2 linked regions of the Macaca mulatta genome follow. The protein of the gene in region 1 binds, or shares a complex with, the protein of each later gene. Links are inferred from orthologs where the notes say so. Each region holds a gene or a part of one and is shown on either strand. Other genes may lie near its edges.

What was found. The genes of interacting proteins can lie anywhere in the genome.
Region 2: MCM2 (region 1) and DONSON share a complex: the UniProt entries of both Homo sapiens proteins name them as parts of the replisome complex. The link is inferred for Macaca mulatta from reciprocal best matches to the Homo sapiens genes MCM2 and DONSON.

Annotation. Positions count from the first base shown.
Region 1 is NC_133407.1:156,357,720-156,365,025, forward strand, and holds part of MCM2 (DNA replication licensing factor MCM2), read right to left. Parts: intron 5,958-7,306; coding exon 5,782-5,957; intron 5,690-5,781; exon of another isoform or gene 5,671-5,689; coding exon 5,410-5,670; intron 4,442-5,409; coding exon 4,222-4,441; intron 3,950-4,221; coding exon 3,742-3,949; intron 2,173-3,741; coding exon 2,038-2,172; intron 1,701-2,037; coding exon 1,509-1,700; intron 1-1,508. UniProt on the Homo sapiens protein: Acts as a component of the MCM2-7 complex (MCM complex) which is the replicative helicase essential for 'once per cell cycle' DNA replication initiation and elongation in eukaryotic cells.
Region 2 is NC_133408.1:13,805,771-13,813,076, reverse strand, and holds part of DONSON (protein downstream neighbor of Son), read right to left. Parts: intron 6,016-7,306; coding exon 5,803-6,015; intron 4,917-5,802; coding exon 4,779-4,916; 3' UTR 4,771-4,778; exon of another isoform or gene 4,071-4,770; intron 4,002-4,070; exon of another isoform or gene 3,092-4,001; coding exon of another isoform or gene 2,880-3,091; intron 2,407-2,879; coding exon of another isoform or gene 2,291-2,406; intron 2,179-2,290; coding exon of another isoform or gene 2,107-2,178; intron 1-2,106. Other genes in the region: protein SON, read left to right, coding at 2,107-2,178, 2,291-2,406, 2,933-3,091. UniProt on the Homo sapiens protein: Replisome component that maintains genome stability by protecting stalled or damaged replication forks.

The sequences.
Region 1 (7,306 bases):
GGAGGAAAAGGAAGGGACAACCATAGCCATGCCACAAAGAAACCAAGAAAGGGGGCTCCACAGGCTTCAGGGGAAGGTGGATGGAGAGAAACAACCAAAACAACCTATCAGCTGGCCTGCAGCCTGGATGCAGCTCTCCTTACCCCACCATCCATTCCTTCAGAGTTACTCAGGGCCTCCTGCAGCCAGGCTCTGGGGACAGAGGTGATTAAGCCAGCAATGGCTCCTGTCCCTGGGGGGTTAACATACATCAGAAGGAAATCATCCAGTTCGCTGAAGAAGCCAAATGGGATCTGAATTTTATGTTGCCAGAGGGCAGCAGAAGAGTGGAGGCTAAAGGGCAAACTAAACTGCTCTGCATTAAAAACTGAACTTCAAGTTGACTTGAAGGCCGGGCGTGGTGGCTCGTGCCTGTAATTCCAGCACTTTGGGAGGCTGAGGCAAGTGGATCACCTGAGGTCAGGAGTTCGAGCCCAGCCTGGCCAACATGATGAAATGCTGTCTCTACTAAAAATACAAAAATTAGTCAGGTGTGGTGATGCGTGCCTGTAATCCCGGCTACTCAGGAGGCTGAGGCAAGAGAATTACTTGAACCCAGGAATGCAGTGAGCTGAGATTGCGCCACTGCACCCCAGCCTGGGCGACACAGAGACTCCATCTCAAAAAAAAAAAAAAAAAAAAGGAAGGAAGGAAGAGAAAGGGGAGAGCAGTGAGCTTGAGAACATGCAGTGCTCTGAGGCAGGATGGAGGTACTGTGGGAGAAACAGCAAAGGACTTTTATCAACAAAAATTTGATGTTCTGTTTAAGTAATCCATATTTCTGCAACATAAACCCCCATCTCCTCATCCTTCAGTAAGAATGTCTACATTAAAAACCAACTGCCCAACTGCCTGGGCACAAGGGCTCACACCTGTAAGCCCAGCACTTTGGGAGGCCAAGGTGGGAGGATCTTGAGCCAGGAGTGTGAGACAAGCCAGGAGTTTGAGACCAGCCTGGGCAACATAGTGAGACTCCCATCTCTATTTAAAAACAAAACAAAACAAAACAAAACAAAACACAACACCACCACCATTCTGGGTTGTTTTTCTGAAAAAACTCCCATTGGCCACAACTGGATCCCTAGGAATCCCTCATGACACAAATTATCCTATTGCCTGCCTCTGTTCCCATTTCAAACCACAGCTCGAAATGATCTGCTAAAGGAAGAGCTCTTCTCGTCGCAACCCTATCCTCAGCAGGGGACTCCTCCCCACCACACAGGCTCAGAGAGGTCATCCAAGTTATCCCACTACCTCGCTGGCCCATGGTAGAACCAGAACCAGGTTCACCCATCCCCAATGCGAGTTTACCTCTTCCCCGGAGCACAGGGCCTCCCTTCCAGACAAGCTTAACTGAGCTCCAGGGGAATAAGGCAAGGTTTGAGCAGTGAGCCCTAGATGCCTGCCACACCCCCAGCAAACCTCCATGTCCCCTCACAGCATCCTGGCAGCCCCTGCCTTCCACCTGCCTTCTCCCCGATCTGCTGATCCTTGGAGAGGCTAGTGATCATCTTCACATCTTCATCGGTCAGTTCCCCTACAGCGACCTTGTTGTCCTTCTTGGCCACGTGGTTGGCCAGGATGACAGTGGCAAAGACGGGGAAGCCATTGGCAGTGTTGAGGGAGCCATCATAGTTGTTGTGATAGATGCCAGTCAGTTCCTGGGGAAAGGGAGGGGCCAAGAAGTCAGAGCCTAACCGAGGGGCCACAGGCAGAGTGGGGGCCCACCTCCGTGCTGCCTTCCTCCAATTTCTCCTATTGCAAGTGCTCCACATTACAGACATCAAGATGAGTAACTCAGTAAAAAGCCCTCCTAAACCCACCATTCCAACAACCCATCCACCAGAGGAGATAAAGTTCTTTGCCTCAGCCATGCAAAAACAGATGCTAGCCTGAGTGCCCCTGCGACCATACACACCTCCACCAGCCCAGCCACAACTGCTTCTGCCAATTCCCTCTGCAACTTGGCTCCCTTCCAGCCTACCCCTGGCCACTTACTATCTCGTCTCCTGGCTTGCAGCTGTCTACCAGATCCGCAAGGAGAATGGCGTCCTTGGAGCGGGGCAGCCGGCCAGCTGCCACTTTGCCTGGACTCTCCTGGATTCGGATACGCTGGTAGTTCTGATAGATGGTCTGCGAGGGACACAGAGAAGGCCTCAAAGCACTGACTTACTATGTCACCCAACCTTGACCCCTCACCAGGCAGGACAACAGGCAGGATTCCGACTCCTGAGTGGCAAATGGAGAGCCAAAGACAGCAAGGAATGAGTTCATGGCTACTTAGCACATCAGTGGACAGTACCCACTCCTGCCACCATCCCTCTGGGATGCCTTCTGACTGCCAGACTCAGCACCTGCTCTATGCTGTACAGCTGAGCTGTCTTGAGTACCAATGCTGGAACCAGGCTGCCTTGGTTCTGTGTCTAAGCTGTGTGATCTTGGGCAAGTGACTTCCTTTCTCTGTGCCTTCTCTGCAACCTCACAATGAGAATTAAAGCAAGTCAAACATACATCAACCTAATCCAGCATCTGATAAATGTAAGTTATAGGAAGTCTTGGCTGTCACTGTCAATTATCACAGGCTAGCACTGTGCCATGTCATTTCGTGTCCATTATCTCACAACACGCACTGCAGTTAAAAGCACATGCTCTGGATCAAGATGCCTGAGCTGTGGACCTCTGATCCACATTCTGGCTGGGTGACCTCAGCCAGTTCTCTAAACACTCGGAAAAGTGGGGCCAGTAACAGTTCCTGCCTCACGAGCTGTGAAAAAGGACCAGGTAATAAACCACCCACTACCTGGCACTGATAAGTACTCCATGAATGATAGCTGTAACTGTTAACCCTCTACCAGGTACTATCTCAGGTCCCTAGAAGCAAGGCCTGAGGGAGACAGACAGGGCATGGGAAGAGTGAGCAAAGACGTGGCTCAGCAGGCATCTGGCCTGCAGCTGTCCCACCTGAGGCAGGGGTCAGCTTTTGGCTGTAGATGGCCACAGGTGGGACCTCTGAGGCATTTTCTGGCAAGGCGGCTCGAGCTGGGACAGTTCTCAGAACTGCAGAGCGGTGAGAAGAGGACAGCCAACAGCCACAGCAGCAAGGCAGTCAGGGGGCCTGGGCACCACCACAGGGACTACAAGCCCATTTACAGACAGGGAAGCTCAAGTACAAAGGCACATGTAATGTGCCTAAGACCTTAAGGCCAGAGGCTTTGGCAGCATCTCCTGAATATGGTGCAAGAGGTTGGTATGGTCCAGGGGCCCCATATGAGCCAGGCAGGTCCCCAAAACAAGCCGAGGGGAAGTCCCGATGGGACTGCAGCCGCCCCACGCAAGTGATGGCCCCCTGGAGACTGGTAAGCACACATTCTGAAGGAGCAACTTGGCAAGAAGCAGGACCTGTTTGCTTCTTCCCATGTTTGCCAGATCTTCCCATGTTTCAAGAGGAGCCATAAACTTGAATGGTTTAAACAAAATCGCCCCACCTAAATATTGACTTGAATTCCTAAAAACACCGTGTGGGCCAAACTAAGCTCACTGGCCAGACAGATTGGGTCCACCCCAGGGTGTGGCCAACACACAATTCTATCTTGCTTCTTGAGGCTGCCCACACTGGTCTTCTACAGCCTGAGAGGCCAGTAAGGCCCTGCATACTGGGCACCCCTAAGGAGAGCTGGCAGCAGGCCCTGTGGCCTCTCTCACCTCTTCCATGTTGACCTCAAAGGGGCCGGCTGACTGGCACTCGGGACAGGAGCCTGGTTTCACCTCCTGGTTCTGGGACTGGCAGAAAGGCCCCAGGACGAAATTGCACTTGTTGCAGTTGTACTTGACCATGCTGAGCTGGGGCAGGACGCCAGTGCAGCTGGTCACCACCCCACTGGTGCGGATCAGCTGGTTCAGATGCAGTTGCCTGCAGAGGCAGAGGGAGCATCAGAAGCTGTGAGCTAGGGTGAGGCCAGGCTGCAGACGAGGGTGTCCCAACACACTGTCGTGGAAACTGGGCCCAGCCCCCAGCCTGGGAAGATACCTCCCATCACACTCCTGTGCAACCACAACTCACCTGCGATGAGGGTGCTGCTGGCTGCACCCTGCCCCGCCCACACCACGAGCGCTCTCTGGAATCACGACTGAGTTACCCAGCACTGAGCTCAGACCTGCCATCCTCACCTGCCCTCAGCTCACCTCAGCGAGCGCAGCTCCTCCACCAGAGGCAGGTGGGAGATGCGGACATGGATGTGGTTGGTGATACGGTCGTACTTGGGGTACATGGCCAGTACCACCTCCAGGGCAGCCTCGTCAAAGATCTGCAGCAGCTCCGCCGGCGCCTCGGGCAGGAAGTAGGCCAGCACGTGCTCCCTTGCTGCCAGGTCCTCATAGTTCACCACCAGGCTCTCACGATTCTCTAGAGGGAGGCATGGTGGGAAGAGAGTTAATGAAGCATGAGAACCGGGCTGGACGGCAACAATGTCTGTGTGAGAAGTGAGGCCTACCCACCCCGACCATTGACTTTGACCTAGAAAGTCCAGCTTTCACTTCTAGGTCTACCACACTTCCGCTGTGACATAGCCTGAGCTTCAACTCTCCACTCCGTAAAATGGGCCTGTCACATGGTGCACAAAGTTGCTGGGGGGTTAAACACGAGCAGAGTGCCTACAGAACTATAAACACAAAATGCCTTACAAGAGCCTAGAAGAAAATCTATGAATAAACTGTCAAACACAGGACAAAAAGCAGGGGAAGGAATTGCAGGAATCAAGATGTACACGTCCCTTTTAAAAGTCAATGCCTGGCTGGGGACGGTGGCTCACACCTGTAATCCTAGCACTCTGGGAGGCCAAGGTGGGCAAATCACCTGAGGTCGGGAGTTCCAAACCAGTCTGACCAAAATGGAGAAACCCCGTCTCTACTAAAAATAAAAAATTAGTCAGGTGTGGTGGCGCATGCCTGTAATACCAGCTACTTGGGAGGCTGAGGCATGAGAATCACTTGAACCCTGGAGGCGGAGGTTGCAGTGAGCTGAGACTGCGCCATTGCACTCTAGCCTGGGAAACAAAAACAAGAACGAAACTCCGTCTCAAAAAAAAAAAAAAAAGACAATTCCTATTACATATATCAAAGTAGTAATCCAGATTTTTATATAAAATCTGTCCATTTACAAGCTTATCAAAAAAATGCTTTGGTGGCCCAGATGTGGTCACTGCACAGCCAGCAGGAGAGCCCTGATGCAAAACTCAATACTTTTAGTTTCTCTGACAGACCTCTCAGTCACATGCCCTGTACTTCACGTGTTCACTGGGTTGGGAAAACTTTCTGTGGGAAGATTTATGGAGGTGCTACAGGGGCTGAGGTGGGAGCTGAGGAAAGCCACACCTTTGCACATGTCACTGATGCGCTCCTTGAAGACGTTGTGGCCGTGGCTGTCCACGTGGGTGCGCAGGAAGTTCTTGAAGCGGTGGTGGATCTCCAGCCGGGGGCCCGCCATGCTCACCCACTCGCGCACAGAGTGGCCCTTGAGATCCTCCAGGTTCTCGATGCTCTCGATCATCTCCTCGTCCTCCTCGCCGTCCTCTGTGGCCCGCTCCACCTGGCGGCGCTTGCGGGCAGGACGCTCCTCGTCCTCCTCATCGCTGTCTGGGGAGGCAAGAGACACCTGCTACTGTAGTCATCTCCAGCACCTCTACTCCCCTCCCGGACTCCTTCCCAGCTTCCCAGCCCCTCGGGCAGGCAGGCACCTGGACTTACCGTACAGGAGCCCACGGCGCATGCGGCCCAGGCCCCGGCCAGCCTCCCGGTCGCGCTGCCGCATGGCCCGCTCTGCTGCCTCCCTCTGACTGGCCGTCAGCTCCTCTACGTCCTCATCATCCAGAGCCAGTCCCTCGGCCTCATAGGCGTCCAGCTCTGGGATGGCACGGTAGTCCCTGAGGGAGCCCCAAAACAGATGTGGTTACTGACCAAAAGAAAAACCCGAAGCACCAAACCCCATCCAGGAACTGGGCCTGTTCAGTAAGGTTCAGGAGCCCCAATGTGGGTAGGCTTAGCACTTCCAGGTCAGAAACACAGAAGGCTCAGAAAATATCTCCAATGAATGAACAAAACACAATCTGTCCATATGATGGATGATGCAGCCTTAAAACAGAAGGAAACTCTGCCACATGCTGGCACATGGATGAACCTTGAGGACATGATTTTGAGTGAAAGAAGCCAGGCACAAAAGGACAAATCCTGTATGGTTCCACTCATTGAGCAGTCAAATTCATAGAAACAGAAAGTAAAATGATGGTTGCTAGGGACTGGGAAGAATGGGGAATTAGTGTTTAACCGAGACAGTTTCAGTTTTCAAACTGCAAAGACTTTTGTGGATGGATGGCGGTGTGGCTGCACAACAATATGAATGTACCTAATGCCACTGAACCATACACAGAAAAATGGTTAAGATGGCTGGGCACCGTGGCTCATTTCTATAATCCCAGCACTTTGGGAGGCCAAGGCAGGAGGATCACTTGAGCCCAGGAGTTCAAGGACAGCCTTAACATAGTGAGACCCCGGCCAGGCGCGGTTGCTCATGCCTGTAATCCCAGCACTTTGGGAAACTGAGGTGGGTGGATCACGAGGTCAGGAGATCAAGACCATCTGGCAAACACGGCGAAACCCCGTCTCTACTAAAAATACAAAAAAATTAGCCGGGCGTGGTGGCGGGCACCTGTAGTCCCAGCTACTCGGGAGGCTGAGGCAGGAGAATCACTTGAACCGGGGAGGCGGAGCTTGCAGTGAGCTGAGACTGCGCCACTGCACTCCAGCCTGGGCAACAGAGCGGGACTCCGTCTCAAAAAAAAAAAAAAAAAGAACATAGTGAGACCCCCATCTCTATAAAAACAGAAAATGGCTGGGCACGGTGGCTCATACCTGTAATCCCAGCACTTTGGGAGGCCAAGGTGGGCAAATCACGAGGTCAAGAGATCGAGACCATCCTGGCGAGCATGGTAAAACCCCACCTCTACTAAAAATACAAAAATTAGCTGGGTGTAGTGGCACACGCCTATAGTCCCAGCTACTCGAGAGGTTGAGGCAGGAGAATCACTTGAACCCGGGAGACAGAGGTTGCAGTGAGCTGAGATTGTGCCACTGCACTCCAGCCTGGTGGTGACACAGCAAGACTCCATTTCAAAAAAAAAAAAAAAAAGAAAATAACCCAGGCCTGGAGGCACATGCCTATAGTCCTAGCTACTCAGGAGGCTGAGGTGGGAGGATTGCTTGAGTGCAGGAGTTT
Region 2 (7,306 bases), on another chromosome or scaffold:
ATTAACACCTCCTTTAACATTACCTTTAATATATCCTTTTGAACCCAGTGATCTTGAACTGAAGGCATTTCTTGTATATATACAGCTATTTGTCAGAAAAAACATTAACCCCTTTTGGGGTTCACAGAAGCAGCTTACTTTTATATAACTATGGATAGAGACACCAGTTTGAACTTTTAAAAGGCACCTTTTGTTATGCTAGTTGCTAAATATGGAAATGTGTATATATCTAATTATATTATTACACCTCCAAATTCAACCAGATTTCATGTTTAGAAAAGAGGATTTCCATTTTATTTTCTCTTGACAAAGAACCATCCTTATTTCTAGTTTGGTTTATTTTTTGTTATTTCCTATTACAATGCTGTTTAGTCTAGATTTCATAAACCCTGTTTGCTTTTTTTTTTTTGTTTTTTACAAGCTCAGTAGTTTAGTTGGGTTAGAGTATAGTAGACCAGCTGCTGACAATAATGTTACTTCTTCCTGTTGCCTGGTGTTAAGGCATTTTGGAACCATTAGCATTGACTGTATTTTCCTTTTACCTTCAGATACCTGGGTAGGACAGCACTGTGTCTTCCATGTAGCTTGTATGTAGTTGTTAAGTATTTAATCGTTCCCACAGATAATAGCTAATTGGCATCTTTTAAATAACTTCTTCCTTTGGAATAATGTAAGTGGAATCACGAGAGGCTTGCCAGCTCAGTATGATTTTTTATAGCTTGTTTAAACCTCATTTATAAAAGCTGGCAAATGTAAAACTGGGATTTATTTTCATCTTTGTAATCAAATAGTAAGTTGAAGCTAACTTCAACAGTTAATCTGTGTTAATGAATTTGGAAATGAACTAGCTCTGCACCAAATACTTTGGTGTAAGTATTGTACAATTTCAGGAAGCGTTCTCCTTGGAATTGTGGGACATGGCCTGACTGTAAGCTCTCGGAGAACCACAGATTTCCCAGGATAGGTTTGGAAAAGCTTGTATTAGCACGGAATTATTTAGCAAAGGTTGAAAAATTTCCTGTAACATACAAGATGAGCACCCCACATCTGGAAACCTGAAATGCTCTAAAGCAGAAAACTCTTTGAATACTGATATGATGCTCAAAGGAAATGCTCACTGGTGCATTTTGGATTTGAGCCTCTTCAGATTTGGGATGCTCGACCAGTAAATACAATGCAAATATTTGAAAACCTGGAATCATGCGACACACTTCTGGTCCCAAGCATTTTGGATAAGGAATACTCAACCTGTATATGGAATTGGGAAAGCAGTGTTTGGGTTTAGCAATATAGCTAATCCCCTTTGTAATAAGCCTATGGAGAGGGAGGTTATGTAGAAAGGTTATGTTCATATTTTGAGAACATCTCCCATTTGTTAGGAAGGGAGAGGGGAGTTTGCTAGGAAAAAAGGGACCTATTTTATTTGGAGACAACCGCTTTTTTCACCTTTTTGGTGGCTTAAAATCCTAACCTTTTTTGGAAGAGTCTTAACTGAGGCTTTTTTGAGAGAGTAAATCTGCAGAAATCATTTAGCAATAAACTTTTTTTTTTTTTTTTTTTTTTGAGATGGAGTTTTGCTCGTTGCCCAGGCTGTCAATGGCACGATCTTGACTCACTGCAACTTCCGCCTCCTGGGTTCAAGCGATTGGCCTGCCCCAGCCTCCCGAGTAGCTGGGATTACAGGCGCCCGCCACCACGCCCGGCTAATTTTTGTTTCTTTAGTAGAGACGGGGTTTCACCATGTTGGCCAGGCTGGTCTCAAACTCTTGACCTCAGGTGATCCACCCACCTCGGCCTCCCAAAGTGCTGGGATTACAGGCGTGAGCCACCGTGCCTCTGGCCATACTTAAATTTTTGTTTTCTGTTTACATTTGGTATTTATTACAATTTCTCATACCAAAGTCTATGAATATTAAATATAAATTTGTATGCTGAAAAACAGTAAAAGAGAAGAGAAGATTGATAGAGAAATCAAGTGTACTAGGAATCTGTTGATTTTATCTGAAGGCATACATTTTGAGGGTCAGACTCCTACAGAAGAATCTTTGTTTTAAAATGGTGCTTTGAAAGTTATTTAGTGAACAATCTTTTTTTTTTTTTTTAAAGGTCTTGTTGCAGTAGGAGAAAGAGCACAAAAGAGGTCTGGGAACTTCTCTGCTGCAATGAAAGATCTGTCAGGTGAGAGCACATTTTTGAATTTCCTCTTACCCTAATCCCACCTTGAATTCATTATTTGTTGCAGAAGTTGGTAGAAATAATTTAAAACTGGATATTTTTTCCCCCGCTGCAGGCAAACATCCTGTGTCTGCTTTGATGGAAATCTGTAATAAGAGAAGGTGGCAACCACCTGAATTTCTGTTGGTCCATGATAGTGGCCCTGATCATCGCAAACATTTTCTTTTTAGGGTAAATATGAATTTCTGCACTAATTGTATATATTTATTAATGTGATAACTTAGAGGGTGAGGGGTAAACATGACAGGATTAAGGTTCTGTTCATGGGTGGGGGATTTGTATTTGTAGTTAAGTGGTGGGGTTTTTAAACTGAAGGGTGCTTTCATATGACTTGTCAATGTCCTATTTTTTAAAAAATTGGAAAAAATTGGGCAAAATATAGTATACAATTTGTTATTTTCTAGTTGAATGTGGGGAATTAATTTAATACTTTTATCAGTCTTTTTCTCAATTTGGAGACCTGCTTTTAATTTGCAGTCCCTTTTCCCAAATGATTTGCTGCTTCTGGGTTGAGATTATAATTTGACTTACATAGTATGGGTTTTATATTTTTGTAAATTATTTTTCTAGCATTTAGTGAAAAATACAAAGCTAATAGATATTAAAGTTTGATGCTGTTCTTATTGTATGTTTTTCTTGAATAGGTATTGAGAAATGGAAGCCCTTACCAGCCCAATTGTATGTTTTTCTTGAATAGGTATTGATAAATGGAAGCGCTTACCAGCCCAGCTTTGCCAGCCCTAATAAGAAGCATGCTAAAGCCACAGCAGCTACTGTGGTTCTTCAAGCAATGGGCCTTGTACCAAAGGACCTCATGGCTAATGCCACTTGCTTCAGGAGTGCCTCACGTAGATAGATTGAGGTTTTATAATAATCATTTCAGATAATTTTACTCTGCATCACAATGTATTTCCTCTTTAATGTTGTAAATATTTGGCAATTTAAGACATTGTGTAAAAAGCAATCTGTAAAAACATCTCCAGGCTTTGATTTTTGTACCATGGAAATTGTATTTAACCATACAGGGTTTTGGTATGTTTATATTGTTTACCTTAGTGATGTATTTGTTTAAGTGGCTAACATCCAAACGATTGTTTGAAGGCATCAGAGTAATCTTCAGTGTGGAATGTTAAATAACGCTTTTATACTGTATTTTGTACTATGATGTAACTCCCCTTCCTTATGGCTAGGCTACTGTAACACTTGCCTGTAATCAGTGAAGGGCTGTGCACCTTGTACTATTTCACAATGGGTTCTGCTGGACAGATACTGGGCCAGTGTTATTGAGGTGATCAAGATCTGTTCCACAGGGCTATTGCCACAATCTCCCCTCAAAATTTTGTAGAGGTTCTAAAAAGAAAGTGGTATGTTGTGTGATGATCAGCACTAAGTCCTGCATTCCTGTTAAAGCCACTTGGGTCATAAGAAGGGAGTAAAAAATGAAGTCTGACTAGAATTCTACTATTGCAGAGGCCAAGTACATTTAGTATGGCATTGAGTTGTGATATAGTTTTACTTTGATGTGCATTTTGAATTTCAGCTACACCTAGATAGACGTAAAATGATAATTAAAATGCTGTAACCAACTTATCTAATAAAATTGGCAACCAGCCACTATTTTGTTGACTATGAGAAAGTTAAAGTTTATGTTAATTTTTAGGGTCCGATAGAATATTTCATGTGTATTACAGTGGTATTCATATGCTATGTCTCTAAACTTTATTTTCAAAAGCTTAAGGCCCAAATACAAACTTCTCTGGAATAAACGTGGTGTTTTATTTTCTGGATTATAAAGTGAACAAATACTTAGATACTATTATTTCTTTACCCAATGCTTTTGATTTCTAAGCACTTTTATTTTAAAAATGTGAATTATACAATCCCAACACACACAACACACACACACACACACACACACACCCCCACACCCTATAAGCACATTAAATACTACTTTGCCATGACAGCTCAGTGTGTACTTCACAATTCTTAACACTATTCTATGTGGAATACAAAATGCCTTTTTATCTGAATTAACATGCATTAGAGTTTTAGTATATGTGAAAATAAAGGAATTATAAATCAGTAGGAAAGATATTAAGGTAGAAGCATCACCAATCAGCTAGCTCAGTAGATGTTATCTATATTTATTTTCTACCTTTATGAAACAAGAACCTGCTAACAGTCTTAGGTAAATGGTAAAGTAACATATTTTTGCCCTGATGCCATTAGTCACAATGCCATGAGGTAACTGCTATGTGATTTCCCATTTGCAAGGAAACATTAATTCAGTTTCTACTCAATATACAATTAGGTTGTAGGGATACAGATAGCTCATTTGAGTTATCTGAGTTTTTCATCTTTGTATCTAAAAATCTAATCTGAAAATAGTAAAAGCAGAAAACACTGATTTAAAACCTTAGATGCTACTGTAATAAAAGTTATGTTTATAACATGTCAGTATATTCCTTCAACTTCAAGAATCTTGAATTTCCTTGCTAGAAGGCTTTTTTCCTCAAAGATTCCTTTTAGGCTTACTTTGGTGTTCAGGATCTCCAATTATAAATGTAGTCTCTCAGCACCACATTCCGTAAAGATGATTTCCCAAGTAATGGTATTTGACTAAGTTGCTCCAGAGTGTTAGGGTGCAAACCACAGTTAGTAAGCTCCTTATGAACAACCTCCTGTGGAAATGTGTATACAAGTCAGTAAAAAGCACATCAATCTTTAAACACAAAAGAGTTTCAAATAATTACTATGGAGACTGACAAATGTCTCATTCACGTGATTCATCCTATCAACAGAAGTTGATCCTAAGAATTTTTGTAGTGACAAAATCCCAAAACATTAATGGTTATTTTTATAAGTCTAGCCAACTGAGATGCATGAGATAATTTTAAAGGTCTTAATTATTCTAGCTCTAAAAACCTTAAGTATATTCAAAATTAAAGGCAAATATGGTTAAATAAATACCCACAGTGAATCATGTTTCCTTAAACTATAAAGGAATCAGGTACTACTGAGTTTTGGATCCAAGAGGAAATGAAAATAAAAGTTGTACCTTTTTGAAATGCGAAGTTCTTCAGTCACTGTTAAAACTGTATTTGGACTGAGCCCGGGCGCCATGGCTCAAGCCTGTAATCCCAACACTTTGGGAGGCCGAGGCAGGTGAATCACCTAAAGTCAGGAGTTGAAGACCAGCCTGGCCAATATGGTGAAACCCCGTCTCTAATAAAGATACAAAATATAGCCGGATATGGTGGCACATGCCTGTAATCCCAGCTACTTGGGAGGCTGAGGCAGAATTGTTTGAACCCAGGAGGCTGAGGTTGCAGCGAGCCGAGATCGCGTAGCTGCACTCCACCTGGGCAACAGCAAGATATCGTCTCAAAAAAAAAAAAAAAAAGAAAATTGTACTTGGACTGAATTCATGAAAGCTATTCTTTCCTCTAGTAATTCGTAATTAAATAACAGTTTAATTACTTGAAACACAAAAGTGACTCAGCATAAATGACTCACTTCCCTCCAGCTAAACAACTAAAACAGTCTGCTCATAGGTGTCTTTCTTACCATATCAAGTACTTTGTCCACTGGCAGGCAGATGTTAAATACAGCAGTTGGCTCGTGTGGATATAGTACTGCAGAGAAAGACCCACTCTGTGAAGATTTGAGCAGCATGGTCAGTGAATGCAGAGAATGAGGCATGATAGGACCTGTAATCTCCAAACTAAACTGGTCTCTGTATCCAGAAAGAGCTTGTGTCTTCACATTTACACTTCGTGCCTTTATGAAAATTTAAAGAAAAGGAAAATTATGATCATCTCTCAACCTTTTGTCTAGCCAAAAATATGTTCAATATATTTCCATTTGGGGTTTCCTCTCTTTAACAATTATGGAACAAAACTATTTCCCAAGACATCAAAACAATGTTACGTGAGTACAAATACTTAGTAAATTTTCAGCATCCTCTCCATATTATGAGATTTTCAGGTGATGTATATTCCAGAGAATACCACTTTTTCATATGGTATTTTGTCTGATTTAATAACACATTGTCAATGCAGACTATTGGAAAAACAAAAATTTAAAGTCCATTCAATTTTATTACTAAGTAATAAAATTGTATGTATTTTGTATTTACATATATAATTTATTATGATTATAATCCCAGCACTTTGGGAGGCCAAGGTGGGAAGATCACTTGAGGTCAGGAGTTCAAGACCAGCCTGGCCAACATGGTGAAACCTTGTCTCTATTAAAAATACAAAAAAATGGCCGGGCGCGGTGGCTCAAGCCTGTAATCCCAGCACTTTGGGAGGCCGAGACGGGCGGATCACAAGGTCAGGAGATCGAGACCATCCTGGCTAACACGGCGAAACCCCGTCTCTACTAAAAACACAAAAAATTAGCCGGGCGAGGTGGCGGCGCCTGTGGTCCCAGCTACTCGGGAGGCTGAGGCAGGAGAATGGCGGGAACCCGGGAGGCGGAGCTTGCAGTGAGCTGAGATCTGGCCACTGCACTCCAGCCTGGGCGACAGAGCGAGACTCCGTCTCAAAAAAAAACAAAAAAAACAAAAACAAAAACAAAACAAAAAAAACAAAAAAATTAGCCAGGCATGGATGGTGGTGTGAGCCTATAGTCCCAGCTACTTGGGAAGCTGAGGCAGAAGAATCGCTTGAGCCCGGTAGGCAGAGTTTGCAGTGAGCCAAGATCAAGCCACTGCCCTCCAGCCTGGGTGACAGCAAGACTGTCTCTAAATGAATGAGTGAATGAATGAATGAATGAATGCAGGGCGGCCAGGTGCAGCAGCTCATGCCTGTAATCCCAGTACTTTGGGAGGCCAAGGGAAGATCATGAGGTCAGGAGTTCAAGACCAGCCTGACCAATATGGCGAAAACCTGTCTCTACTAAAAATGCAAAAAAAAAAAAAAAAAATTAGCCAGGCGTGGTGGTGCACAATTGTAATCACAGCTACTCAGGAGGCTGAGGCAGGAGAATCGCTTGAACCTAGGAGTCGGAGGTTGCAGTAAGCTGAGATCGCACCACTGCACTCCAGCAGGTGACAGAGTGAGAC